Linked DNA regions of Lonchura striata. The protein of the gene in region 2 purifies or fractionates together with the protein of the main gene of each other region. This does not show direct contact. Links are inferred from orthologs where the notes say so. Each region holds a gene or a part of one and is shown on either strand. Other genes may lie near its edges.

Region 1 (7,240 bases), on a different chromosome or scaffold from region 2:
TTAATGTCACAATTATTATTTTAAGAATGTAACTATTATTATTATTCATGTCACAATTATTATTTTATGAATGTAACAATTCAGTGTAAAAACATAATATTTCTGTGAAAGAATGCAATAATTCTGTATAAGAACAGCTCCTGCAGTTGTTTTTAACCAATTATCAAATTTTGCCATTATTGTATTTCCATAATCAAAAAAAAGCACAGTGGAGAAATTACTTGCATTCCACGATTAAGAGATTTGACTGAAAGGAGATAAAGCCAAAGGAACTGGTTATTTAAGTAATGCATCTGTACCCCAAAATGTTAAAGGTTCAGAAGTTTCATTTTGTGCTTCAAATCTAATAAGTGTTGTTAAAAGACAAACAAATAAAGTGAACAACAGTAAGCAATAAAATCCTTAATATTCAGAATGCATTTGTGTGGGAAGCTGGCTCAAGCTCTTGCTGAAGATCAAGAACTCTCTATCTGCTGTTATTGTTATTAAGGGGTGACAAAATGTTTCTACTGTGCAATTAGTGACAGCAGAGGGGTAATTAAAACACAGAATATTTGGGTTGGACAAGACCTCCAAGGTCATCAAGTCCAAGCTGTGACTGATGCCCACCTTGTCACCAGCCCTGAGTTCTGAGTGCCACCTCCAGGTGTTCCTTGGACACCTTCAGGGATGGGGACTACACACCACCCTGGGCAGCCCCTGCCAAGGCCTGAGCACCCTTTCCATGGGGAAATTCCTGTTGATGTCCACCCTGAGCCTGCCCTGGCCCAGCCTGCGGCTGCTCCCTCTCCTCCTGTCCCTGCTCCCTGTGTGCATAAAATCTGTATCATCTCCTACCTTATTTAAGCAACACCTCCCAATTGCCTGAAGGAATTCATTGGTTTTCTCAGGCTCGTGTCCAGCCACAACTCGTGCTGGTTTCACTGACAGTGGCTCTCCTGTCACCATCACAACAGCATCGATGGCCTTCTGAAGGAAGTTGATTTTGGAATCCTTATCCTGGTAAAACAGCAATTAAGAGAAAATTTTTATCTCCACAATAATCATGTTTGTTTTAGTTTTACAAATATCCTTTAATAACAACCTGCCCCAGCTGCCCTTCACTAGAGATGATGTCTTCCAGTGATAACATAAAATCAGAAGTAAAAATAAAAGATCAAATAAACAAAGTAAAGCCAAGTGAAATTTCACAGAAGTCCTCACAATTAAGAAATCATCATGATTTCAGTCCTCCTTACAGCTCTCTCCTGTTGATTACTCAGAAAAAATTATTCTCCAGATCTTCTACAACTCCAAGAGAGATCACAGTAAGGAAGCAGCTGAGTCTTCATCCTGACCAGTTTTGGGAAGAGGAACTTAAGGCTGAGACATTTTCCCCCACGCTCCAGGATTTTGATTTCCTCTGCCTGAGCTCTGGAAAACCCCAAGGACTTATCGGCTGTGAAAGAAATTTGTGAAACAAATTCTCAGAGACATAGCAGCACGTAGATGCAACAAAGACCTGCTCAGGAGCAGCTGGGAAATCTGCTTTTTGGGTCAACAAGGACACTATCAAGAAACCAAACAATTCAGTTATAAATTACTTAATTTTAGTTATCCTGACGGCAGTAGGAACAGTCACAGAAATAAACACACACATTAATCAGTGACTAAAACATGCAAGAGCTGGCTGGAGGGATGAGGAGTCAGAGCTCACACTTCAGTTGCTACATTAAACAAACACCATGGGATCAGCTGCCTAAGTGGCAACACACAAACACTGCTCTGTTTGCCAGGAATCAGCAACCAGAGCTCCCAAATCAGGATGGGAGCTGGGAACTCAGCATCAGCTCAGCCAAAAATCAGAGGAAAGCAGCAGACAGAGAGTAAAGTCAACCTTGGACTTAAGGAGTTTTCAGTAATAATATCAAACTCCTCTTTCAGTAATCAGCCAGTTTTACACAGCAATAAAGCTACTGCATATCCTAGATAGGTGAGTCCTGGGGATATTTATAAACAAAGATATATAGAGCAGTAAGTTAAGGGCCATGGATTCTCTTGAGAGACCACAAGACTCTTTAAAACCAGAAATTTGGACACAGAACTATAGGTGTTCACCCCATGGAAAGTATATTATACCCCACAGGCAGGATTTACAACTTCTTCACAAAAATAACAACAGCTCCTTGGTGCTGAACACAGAAAAGACCAAAAGAACCTTCTGGCGAGTTGCAAAAAACACTGAAAACTAAATAAATAAGGAAGTCCCATGCCCACCTTGACATTATCAGACTTCAACTCGAAATCTGTGTAAAGTCCTTTCAGAAAACCTGTCACTCTGATCACCTAAAAAACAGAATGGGGTAAGTCAAGAACATTTAAAGCCTCTGCTCAATAAATCTTGTGTGGCAGCAGGAAATGTATTCTTCGTGGGAAGGGTGGTGAGGCACTGGAGTGCAGTCCCCATCCCTGGAGGTACCCAAGGAAGGCCTGGACATGGCACTCAGTGCTCCGGGCTGGTGACAAGGGGGGCATCGGGCACAGGCTGGGCTCAGAGATCTCGGGTGGCTTTTCCAACCTCAAGGATTCTGGGATTCTGTGATATTTCACTACCCCAGGCTGCTCCAAGCCCCACTGTCCAACCTGGGCCACTTCCAGGGGCAGCCACAGCTTCTCCGGGCACCCTGTGCCAGGGCCTGCCCACCCTCACAGGGCAGAATTCCTTCCCAAAACCCCACCTAACCCTGCCTCTGCAGACGTGACCCCCTTTCCGACCGCCACACGCGCCTTTCCACCCCAAACTCACGCAGTGCCCAGAGCCCCGCGATTCACACACCGCTGAGGGCACGCCCCACAGGCTTCCACACACCCACCTCGCAGATCAGGTCGTGCAGGTAGCGGAAGGGCGGCTTGCTCAGCAGCGCGTCGGTGAGCGGCGGCTTGCGGATCACCTGCCCCAGGGTCTCCCGCGTTTGCCGCGACACCGCCTCGTTCATCGCGGCGGGGCCGGGCCGGGCCGCGCCGGGGCTCGAACCGGCACCGCGGCGGGGCTCGAACCGGCACCGCGGCGGGGCTCGAACCGGCACCGCGGCGGGGCGCGCCCGCCCCCGGCCCGCCGCTCCCGGCGTGCCCCGCGCGAGCCGCCGGTCGCTAAGGGGCGCCGCGGCCATAGCAACCGGCCCGGCCCGCTCCGCCCTCAGCGAGGAAAACCCGGGAAACAGCCCCGAGACACCCGGAAACAGCCTTAAAAAACATAGCAACAGTCCCCAAAACCCTGGAAACCACCCTAAAATCCCTGGAAACAGCACCCAAATCCACGGAAACAGCCCCAAACCCCCCACAAACAGCCCCCAAATCCCCGGAAACAGCCCCAGAAACAGCCCCCAAGCCTCCCAAAAATAGCTCCCAAAGCCCCCATAAACAGCCCCAAAATCCCCGGAAACAGCCCCAAAATCCCCAAATATAGCTCCCAAAGCCCCCATAAACAGCCCCAAAATCCCCGGAAACAGCCCCAAAATCCCCGGAAACAGCCCCAAAATCCCCAAAAGTAGCCCCCAAAGGCCCCCATAAACAGTGCCCAAAACCCCCGGAAACAGCCCCCATAAACAAACTCCAAATCCCCAGAAACAGCCCTAAAACCCCAATAAACGGCCCAAAATCCCCAGAAACAGCCCACAACCCCCCCCAAAACAGCCTCCAAAATCCCCATAAACAGCCCCCAAATCCCCGGAAAACAGCCCCAGAAACAGCCACAAACCCCTCCAAAATAGCTCCCAAAACCCCCATGAACAGCCCCAAAATCCCCAGAAACAGCACCCAAAACCCCCATTAACAGCCTCAAAATCCCTGGAAACAGCCCCCAAAACTGCAGAAACAGCACCCAAAATCCCCATTAACAGCCCCCAAAAACGCAGAAACAGCCCCTAACCATTGGAAGCAGCCAAAAAACCTCTGGAAACAGCCCCAAAACCCCCGAAAAGAGCACCAAACCCCCTGGAAACAGCCCCCCAAAACCCCTGGAAACAGCCCCAAATCCCCCATAAACAGCCTCAAAACCATGCCCCCCTACCCCTCAGAGCAAGAGGCAGTGAACAACGTGTTAGGGAGACATGCTGTGTGTCAGCAGCAGGAATTGGAGCAGGAAAAGTTTTTTTGTTGTTGTTTTTTGTCTTGTTTTGTTTTGGGGTTTTTTTTCTGTTTGTTTGTTTTTGCTTCATCACTTAAGAGGTGACTCTGTGGGACCCAACACAAGAGAAACAGGGACTGCAAATCCAGGAGAGCAGGGAGATGCTGCAAGGCTGGAGCCAGGCTGGGAGAGCTGGGGGTGCTCACCTGGAGAGGAGAAGGATCCAGGGAGAGCTCAGAGCCTCTGCCAGGGCCTGAAGGGGCTCCAGGAGAGCTGGAGAGGAGCTGGGGACAAGGCATGGAGGGACAGGACACAGGGAATGGCTTCCCACTGCCAGAGGGCAGGGATGGATGGGATATTGGGCAGGAATTGTTTCCTGGGAGGTGCTGGCACTGTTTTTAGAGCAGCTGTGGCTGCTCCTGGATCCCTGGGAGTGTCCAAGGCCAGGCTGGACAGGACTGGGAGCAGCCTGGGATAGTCGATGGTGTCCCTGCCATGGCAAGAGGGTGGCACTTGATCACCCACTCCATTCCAACCCACAGCCTTTTGTAAAGAAAGAGTCAGATTTGGGAATTAATGGAGGTATTACAAAGCAAATCCATCTGGTCTTAGTGCAGGCAAGGAAATTTTTCCAGCAAAAAGGCAGTAGACACTTCTATACCAAGAGGGTAATTTCACCTGGGCTCCTGGCAGGTGCTCAAGGGGGGAAGTGCATTTTACCTTCCCCCCTAACCCTGAGGTTCCCAGAAAGGCTCTGACTCCAGGATCTGGTGATCCTGGGAAGAACAGGAGGTGTTGACAGCTTCCACATCCCAGGGCATTGGAAGAAGTCTCAGAGGAAGCAAGAAGCTGCTCTGTGAAAGAGGGAATGTTTATTTTGGGATTGTGTAGTTTATCTGGGCTTTTTCACTGACTATCTAGGAAGCATCTGAGATGCCTGAAGAGGAATCTCAGGGGGGAATTTACATTTGGCCTCATTAGCTCATTTTCCCACACAGGCACCCCAAGGAAGCACAGGTCCATTTAACTGGAAACCAAAACCCACGATCAGGGCTTCACCACCCTCACAGGGAAGGATTTCTTCCCAATGGCCCTAGTAAACCTCTTGGAAATGCCATGAACTCTGCACCTGTCAGGAAGGAAAGGATGCTGAGAAAAATGTAGCAATCTTTCAGCTCAACTCTGTACCTGGAAACCCCCAGTCTCAAGGTCCAGAATCCCAGAAAGGTCTGAGCAAGCTGGGATGAGGTAGATGACCAAAACAAAACAAACAAACAAACAAACAAAACCACCCCCCCAAAAAAAAAAAACAAAACACCAACACCCTAAATATAATTTTTTTCCCAGAAATTGGCTCAGTAGTCTCTAGAAGCCAATTGCTGATTTCAGTCAAAACCTGTTGCTCAAAATAACCACTCCAAACAACTCATTAAAACTGGGATAAAAAAAATTCCAAGGCTTTTCATAAGTCTAGGGCATCAGAGTGGCATTGTGTCCTGATGGAGGAACATTCCCTGCCAACCTCAGTGCTTTCCCCACAGGGATTGGAAACATAGGACGAAAACAAAGCTGCTCCTGCACTCAGAGCCCTGAGCCAGGACCAAACCAGGAGCCTCAGGAAAAGACAACAGCCACAAGGAAAGGGGAAACCTCCCCCAGAGCTGGGAATGTTGGTTCAGGAACGTTGGAAGATGAATGCTGATTAATACTCATGTCAGAAACCAGTTTGTGCCATTCTCAACCAGTGAGACATCCACAGATAACCCAACTAGGCAGATAAAAATGACATTTAATTTTGTGAAGAACACTTGAAAAATAAAGATGAAAGCTCTTCAAGGCTTTGCAAATAACCATCAGAACCCACAGAGCCAAAGACTCCATTTTTAAAAGGTGCTTTCTCTCCCCAGCCCTGTTTTCCATTAACTCCCAATGTGGAGTGGCCCACAAGAGTTTCAAAGAAGAAAAAAAAAATTCATTTTGAGCCAACATTAGAAATAATCCAAGATTCGTTCAGTGCAGGTGCTGCTACATTACACTTGAACAAAGGCACAAAATTCCCTCTTCTAATTTTCATTTTGATTTCTCTAAACTTGGTGTTCTCAGGGAGAGACCAGAGTTATTCAAGAGAGGAAGGCTGAGCTCAGTCCAGCTCTCCAGCAGGAACCGGAGGAACTGAAGTGACAGCAAATAAATCCAATGGACTGTAACCATGTGGGAACACAAACCTTTGGAATCGGCACCTCTGACCCCTGCTGTAAACCCAGGCTCCCAAGAACACCTGATATGGAAAGAAGGTGACACAAATTAAGATGGGAAAACATCCACTGCCCTCCCCTCAGGCAGAAAATGTATCCATGAAACTGGGATTTCAGGATCCAAGTGAGTGAGGACGTTAACAGCCCCTTCTGCAGAGTATCAGCCCCAAAAAGCACAGGAGTACCTGCTGAATTCTAAAGATATGCAGAGAAATAAAAAATAATATAATTGTGTGCTTTATGGTGCTTTTCACTTCTTTTTTTTTTTTTTTAGCTGCTAGCAAAGTGTCAGATTTTATCTTTATGCTGTCTCAAATGTAGTAGTGTTAACCTATAAAAGGTACATGAAAAATCTTACATTAGCCAAAATTTGGGAAATCTGCTCAACTGGCAGCTCCTACTACATACAGAAAATAGGTCAAATACTTACTGCAACCCCCAAAAGCAAACTTGTGTTTTGTCCTGTCATAATCACAGATTTAATTCAGGATAATCAGGCTCACTTTGGAGTTAATACTTCAGAGCCTTTGACCTGGAGCCCAGCTCACTGAGCTGCTCAAAATCAGCTCAGGACACCAAGAGAAACAGGTTCTCCAATATAAGAGAGTATCAGAACAGCTGGAAAGATGAGAAATGAGGGAAATTCCTCTGAAGAGGAGCCCTGAAAATAAATGCCTTTTTCCTGAGTACAGTAAAACTCACTGAAGATCAAGCATTGGATCTGTCAATTTCTTCCAACCGTTTTCCATCTTAATGAAATTCAGGGACGACAAAAATGCCCTAGAAAATGCTAAATTAAGTTTATGGGCAACAACTGAAGCCAGAAACTTCAAAATCTAAGATTACATCCCTGTTGTTCCATATCACAAAATGTCTCCAG
Region 2 (7,352 bases):
CCTGTGCAGCTCCAGTGAGGCAAAGGAAGGAAAAGCAGATGAAGCCAAGGAACAGATGCAGTGTAGAAATCTTTAAACACATGGTAAGAGCATACTCCCAGGTAGCAGAAGAGGCAGAAGCCACAAGAGATCTGGATAGTCAAGCACACGAGTGACAAGGCAAGAACAGCTACAGAAAAACTCAAGTATTGAGACCTAACTACCAACTTTTCAACAGTGTCCTGCTTGCTCCAGATTTTACTTATAAAATATTTTAATTTATTGCTGTTATGCAGAATAAACATAGTAGTTTGATATAGTTTAACTCCTTCAGAGTGTCCTTAACATAATTCACACTGCAAAAGAGTATTATCTCCCATAAGAGCATACTTTTGTCAGTTGACATAGTCTCCTGACCTTTGGAGTTTGGCTTTTTTCATTAAAAAAAAATCTCAGTAGTTTCTGGCAGTTTGTATTCCTTTTACTCTTCAACAAAACAAAACAAAACAAAAGACACAAACACTATTCTAAACCACTTCCTACACTACAAAGACACTACAAATTAAGTCATTCACTTTGGCCAGAGCAGGATATCACAAGCTGTGTAACCCTTCCAGATAAAATCTCTGAAAATTATGCTACTATAAATTAGCAACATATGCGGCACTACAGAAGGTAAGCCTGGTTTAATCCATTTTACAGACTGCAGAACAAAACTAACTGGAATCATTTATAAGACCATTTTTGTAATGTTAAAAATAATAGCAAGTAGGTAATGAGACAGAGTGAAAATTTCACAAAGTAGAAGCCTATTTAGATTTAAGTGAAATGTGCCGCTTTAAACTTGCTAACATAAGTGAAATACGCTATTTAGTCTAGTAACTACAACACTAGCAAAGTTATCCTAGCTAATGAAAAAAAAAAAAAATACAAATTTCCACACTAAAAAAATAAGAGATAAAAAAGACTCCTCAGACTTTGAAGCAAAGCAATGTAACCCAGGAGTTCTTTCTATACTTTCTGGCAAAAACTAAGTACAACTAACTAAAAATATAACACAAAATCAACAGAATAAATATGCATAGAGCTATTGTAAAATTCTATGCATATGAAAATTAATAAAAGTAATAAAAAAAAAATCAAGAGTTCTCAAAAGTACACATACCCTTTAAAAAGAAATCCCTGCTGTGTGATAAATCCCAGTGTACGTCCACTATCAACATACCGTTCCCTACAAATCTTTATTAAAATTATAAGGTTTTAATTTTTCATCCACGTTTCAGTACAGCCTATGTAAAGTTCCAATTTACTAAGTAACACAGTACAAACTTACAGCCAGGAAAATCTGTCCAGTCCTTGGGACCAGACCCAGCAGGAGAAGAGCGTGTGACTGCTGTTATTTCTGAAGGGAATGCAGGCACCTGGGAAGGGAGCCCGTGTGACACTCACAAAGGAGCGCAGCTCCGAGAGCACATTTGAGATGACGGCGTTGGGGTCGTCGTACTCCTGCGGCTGCTCGAAGGGACGCCCCGCTTTGCTGATCAGCCACGCGGCCAGCGTGCAGAACATGAAGAACTGCTCGCCGGGGTTGGTGGGCAGCGCAAAGTAGTGCCTGCTTACAAGGGGGACAAGTGGTACATCTTGTGAGTTTCTGCAGCTTACAACACTATAGGTAAGCACAGGCTACAGAGCAGTTTCTTTACCCGGTTTCCTCAATGAGCAATGAACTAAATTCAGGATGCAGCAGACCAAGTTTTCTACATCTTTCTACACTACAGCTTGCTTATTTCCACCTATGACTAAGTTATTAGTCAACACCAGACCTGGCTGCCAAGTTCCCCAAACCACATCTTTCACACTTTCCTCAAGAAATGCAGGAAGATGGTATTCCTACATTTAAAAATTCAGCTCAGACGAGGAGCTTGTTTTGAAGTGATCATTCCGCCTGTCCTTACCTACTGTGCTTTGGGTTGCTTTGGAAAGCAATGAAAACTGGATCTGACTTGGATCACGCCAAATTCAAATATGTGGTCCTAACAAGAAATCAATCCATAAAACCAGACCACCCCACAAAGTATAAATTACATGCATGCTGGACACAGGGAACTTCTGGAAATGCTTCTCTTTACCAACACAGCCACTCACTAAGGTACACAATGGTCTGCTGTCCTGCTCCAAACATTCCACTGGCTCAAGAGCAGGCTAGAACTGATTTACAGCCACAGTGCTCATACTTGAGCCTCCTTCCCAAAAAGGGAGTAACTTGGACCCCTTTAACAAAATGCTCCTTGTAAGAAGCTTAATTCTGTGACAGCCCTGCAATGGAGCCTGGCTAAGAGCGACAAATGGGTTATTTGGGCAGGTGGATATTTGGAGCACATTGGTCCTGTTTCCCAGGCTTCATGTCTCCACCATCATTTAAAAGAAAGACATAAAAAACATTACATATGAAACAAATATATACTGGATATGAAACCCCAGCCTTACCAAAAACGGGCCCTCTTTGCAAAGGGTTAAAAAATACACATATCCCACGAATAGCTATCCTGAATTCAAGATACTTAGAGTTATTTTGAACTACTTGGAATTTAGGCAGAGCTACTTTCTGCCGAATAGGTAGAATTACTTTTTGCACGGGTACCGCGGCACGCAGACACCCAGTACCTGGGGGGCAGGGAAGGTCAAGGGACTATTATTATTATTATTATTATCATCTCAAGCTTTCGGTTCCAGCTCACACGGGCAGCTTTGCAGCTGCTTGTCCCCTGAGGCAGGCACCCTGCCACACGAGCCCCTTCCTTGAGCTGCGAGGGCCCGGAGCGGGCCCGGCCCGCCGCCCGCCGCCCGCGCCCTCAGGCCGAGCAGGGCCGCACCTGCACAGAGGCCGCATGTTATGGCGCCGCAGCGCCTCCTCCTCGTAGCTCAGCAGTTTCAGCTTGTCCAGCAGGTCCTCCATGAGCACGAACATGTGAAAAGCCGCGCCGGGGCCGCGCTCCGCCGGCTCCTCGGCCCGCTCGCCGCGGCTCTCCTGCGCCATAACCACGGCAACAGGGCGGGCTGGCTCGGCGTGAGGGCGGCGCGGCGCCGGCCCGCCCCGCCGCTCCGCCGCTCCGCCCTCACACTTTGCCCTCTCCTGGAAGAGCAGCGCCGGGACGGCTCGCTCCGGGCAGCGGCGGTGCGGTGAGTCCCGGCAGCCGAGAGCCGCAGCTTCACCCGCGGTGCCGGCTGGAAGCGCCTGGGGCGGGGAAGGCAGCGGGGAAAGCGGGAAAACTGCGTGTCCCGGGATGCGCTTGGCGCTGGCGGAGCATCATCTCGAGCGCTGTGTCCATCTCTGGACGCCTCACTCACTACCGCATGGGTTTCGAGGCGCTGGAGCGTGTCCAGAGAAGGGCAGCGCAGTTGGCCAAGTGCAGTGCCCATGAGCAGTCTTTACAGCTTCCTAAGAAGGAAGTTTTAGCCAGGTGGGGGTCGGTCTTTTCTCCCAGTTAGCAAGTAACAGGACAAGAGGACATAGACTTAAGCTGCGACAGGATTTAGATTGGACATTGGGTGGAATTTCCCATTAAAGGGGTTTTCAAGCATTGCAATGAGCTGCCCAGGCACATCAGCATTCCTGAGTGTTAAAACTGGACGTGTGCCGTGATCTAGTTGAGTTCATCAGTCAGAGGTAGGACTCGGTGATATCTGAAGTCTTTTACAACTCCTGAATTCACAGAGTCATTTTGCAGACAAAGTCCTTGAGGGGACACACACCCCTTCTTGCCACTTCTTCCTGCATTTTTTTTGGAGTTTTTTTGTAAGCTCTCTTCCCGAAAAAAATTGAGTCGTTTTATTCTGCTGGAAAAAAACAGGACACACAGGTTTTGACTTGTCGGGAGCGAACGAGGTCACTGTTAAAAGCACTTTTAGAAAAGAATTACCTATCCCTGCAGGAAGCCCTAGGCTCCTACCTCTCATTTGAGAAGAGCTTTTTGAGAAGAGCGTCATGATTACTTTTACCTTATGTTCTCTTTCTCCTGGGCCAGGTTCCTGCACTCTGCCCCGAAGAGAATTGCTGCTGTCGCTGCCTCCCCGAGACTGCTGTAAGCTCGCTTACTGCTCACTCATTTCCTCTGTTACAGCTTGCAGGAACTTCAGGTTTGCCAGGCAAAAGTTAACCGAGAAAAAGTTTTTTAAAGTATGAAGTATGTTAGTTACTTGAACCCTGAGCCATACGTGTGGGGCAGCCAGAATGCAGATGGAGAGAGGCCAAGATCAACAGGGAGAGAGATTGTGGAAACTTTCTTCCATTCGGATTATTTCTCAACACCTGAAGTATGAAGTTAGCATTTAAGTTGTAAGGGTTTCATTATGGGGAGGCAGAGAATGACTTCTCTTTTACTGTGGGAAATCCTCTGAAGATTCAGTGAGGAAATTCTAGAAAGCTGGTATCATTGTGGCAGGAGATTTTAGCAATATGTGATTAACATGTCTTTTTGAGAATTTTACTTGTTAATTTTTACCAACAAGCAAACAAGAAAAACAAAAGTATTCTTCTGATATTTCCCAGTCCTCATAAGTGTGTGTACACTTGAAATGCGTTGTTGTTAAGTTGCATTGAAAAGGAATAAATCGGAAACCTTTGTACCAAGAAATAAATTTTATTTGAAAGGAGGATATTTTAGTTTGCCTGTCTGCTCTCAAAGAGGTCACAAAGTACACTGAGCAGCCACCAGTCCTGATGGCTGTTTGCTGCAGGAGTGCTCTGATCGTGTTCCAGCTTGAATGCAGAGCTCAAATATGGGGAAATACTTGGATACAGAAGAAAGTCTTCTTTTCCTGTAATGGCTGGAGCAAATGCAGCATTCCCCCTACCTTTATTTTAGCTGTTCAGTATGTCCTGGGAGATGCATTTTAGCACCTTGCCTTGCTCTTAGGAACCCTGGCTGAGCTGCTCTCCAGTTTAGTCTGTGGTGGTTCTGTATGAAATAATTCTCCTGAAACCTAGAGCATCAGTAACTAACATGACTACGGTGAGCTTAATTCTACTTGTGCACTGTTTGTATACATAATTTCATATTGATATTTCACTAAAAGCCTTATTAGGGCATGACTTCTTGATTGTGTTACGTCTGTGACAAACAGAAAAAGCATGTTTGTTTGTTCAGTACTTTGCTGTGTGACTAATTATCAGCGTACACACACTTTATTCCTATAAGACCCAGAACTTGCTGAAAAGACTGGCCAGAACCTACATTCCTCAGATTTTTCTACAGACTGGCATGCATTTTTCTCTAATGGAAAGATCCAAAGCCATGGTTTGTGCTGAATGTGAAAATTTTCAGCTGAGTAGTTGTAGCTGTGTATTTTTGAAGCAGGGTTATGGGGCACAGCTAGAAGATGGGAGGCAGTGTGCACTGTCCATGCAGCTCCCAAAGGCATCACAGGGGTACCACTGGAACCATGCTACTCTCAGAGCATCACTGCCAGTGGAAGGTGACATGTCAATTAAACACGGCAGATCCCTCACTAAGGGAAATACAGCATTGATTGCAGTTTCTGAAATGGAAACATCAAGCACAGTATATTTTGTTGATTTTGTTCCTCCTCCACCCAGGTAATAGTTACAGTAATGTAACTATTATTTCTGTTATGCATGAGAGATTCTGGTTCATTGCTGTCTGGCAAAACAGAAAATATGATGAGTCTCCTCCTTTGCATTCCTACCCTAGACTTCCATGCACATGTTTTTGAAAGTGTAAAAAGTGTGAAAAGTTCTCTATATCTGCGGTATTTGCAAATGCAGTCAAATTTCCCATCCCCGAAAGTCAAATGTTGCAGTAATCAGAAAAATACTTTAAAAAGTAGAGAAAAGCAGGTTTGACAAGGGACGTCTTACATCCTTTTGCAAAATCTTCTTGACAGGTTTTCCTTGGTGTCCTGTTCAGGAATGAGGAAGCTAGCCCTGTAACAACACTGAGAGTAAACACTTTCTATTTATTAAAATTAAAGCATCAATCTGCAAGGGGATGCAAGATAACGAGTGAGCCTTCACTATTATGTAATGCATAGGATCACATAATGAATGGCTTTAAGGTCAAAAATCTGGACCAAGTCTGTTGCAAACAAAAACATGATAAAAAGGGCTATAGTCCTTAGCAAGCTGTAGAAAGGAAATTATATATGGACATGTCTTTTATCTGCATTTAAAGAGATTTTCTCCCCTGCTTTTATTTTGCCAGTTTGACCTGAATCTACAAACCAATGAAGAAATGAAAGGACAGAACATACCAACTGTCATTATCTGTTTATTTCACGTCAGTGCTACACTTTGGGGTAGGTTTTAGCTGAAAAATAATAAGGAAAACCATTACTATTAATTTTTATTAAGGAGAGTTAGTGAATTCAAGCACTGTTTTTAATGGTAAAGAATCAATTTTGGGTAATGTAAAACACTTCTGGAGCTAAAGACTGTTTATCAGGTGGCTGCATGGATGGCTGTGGCCATTGAGCCCCCCAGACCTGCCAATGTTTCTGCCCCACGGCTCAGCAGGCAGTGCTTTTCAGTTCAGACTGAAAATGATTTGCAGCAAATGGGCTGACCTAGCATTGAGAAGACTAAGGAAAAGTCATTTGGATTGTTCAGATGAGCCAGAGACTGCATCAGAATGTCTGAGAAGGCAACTGCCCTTGGGCACTCACTACCAGCCTAACAGGTTGCAGTCAGTTTTTTAAAAGATTAAATTGCTCTAGTATGCCAGCAAGGTCTAAGTTAAATGTTAACAGAAATGAGATGCTTCCACTTGTGTCAATTTGTGGAATGTACACCTTAATTATTTCAAGGGGCTGGGACAGAACTTCCTGACGCTGTCTGTGGTGGCAAAGCTGTTTCAAGAAGTTCTGTCCTTCCCATCAATTGCAGCACCATGTCTTTTTTCTCTGTGGTGGTACAACTGCTGGGCACTGTGTGAGGGTAATTGGTAACATATGGGGCATTGCAGCATGGCACTGTGAATGTTTGAACACGTAGAAAGATGCAGCTCAAAAGGCTTTTAAAGTCTAAGGTAGAAAAGATGGGGTTTGAGATGTGGAAACACATTTGAAGCTCAGGTGGTAAGTTGGCAGGGTGCTGATGTGAATATGTAGGTGCTGATTTGGGATTTCTACATAAACTGATTAGAAGTTCAAAGAGCAGAGCTCTGTGTTGTAATCCTGTAAACTGGAGGGACACCCTTTCTGTCTCAAGAGACTCATGTGACAGAAAAGTCATGAAAGAGACTTTGGCACGCCTCCAAGAGCGTTTTTTTGTCAGGGATAAAAAGGTGCAGAAATATACTTGTAGATTGGATTAAATTTACTCATTTGTACTTACGGGCTTTAGGTTTTACAGAACA

The links. Proteins that work in one complex are often made in the same cells at the same time.
Region 1: the proteins of IFT57 (region 2) and TRAF3IP1 purify together in Homo sapiens (affinity purification with mass spectrometry; 3 studies listed by BioGRID and IntAct, counting the BioPlex papers as one, with this or other methods). This does not show direct contact. The link is inferred for Lonchura striata from reciprocal best matches to the Homo sapiens genes IFT57 and TRAF3IP1.

Annotation. Positions count from the first base shown.
Region 1 is NC_134610.1:36,519,034-36,526,273, reverse strand, and holds the start of TRAF3IP1 (TRAF3-interacting protein 1), read right to left. Parts: upstream 3,062-7,240; 5' UTR 2,976-3,061; coding exon 2,853-2,975; intron 2,326-2,852; coding exon 2,257-2,325; intron 1,000-2,256; coding exon 838-999; intron 1-837.
Region 2 is NC_134604.1:2,787,477-2,794,828, forward strand, and holds the start of IFT57 (intraflagellar transport protein 57 homolog), read right to left. Parts: upstream 3,067-7,352; 5' UTR 3,017-3,066; coding exon 2,853-3,016; intron 1,592-2,852; coding exon 1,429-1,591; intron 1-1,428. Other genes in the region: HHLA2 (HERV-H LTR-associating protein 2), read left to right, coding at 6,231-6,294, 7,340-7,352. UniProt on the Homo sapiens protein: Required for the formation of cilia. Plays an indirect role in sonic hedgehog signaling, cilia being required for all activity of the hedgehog pathway.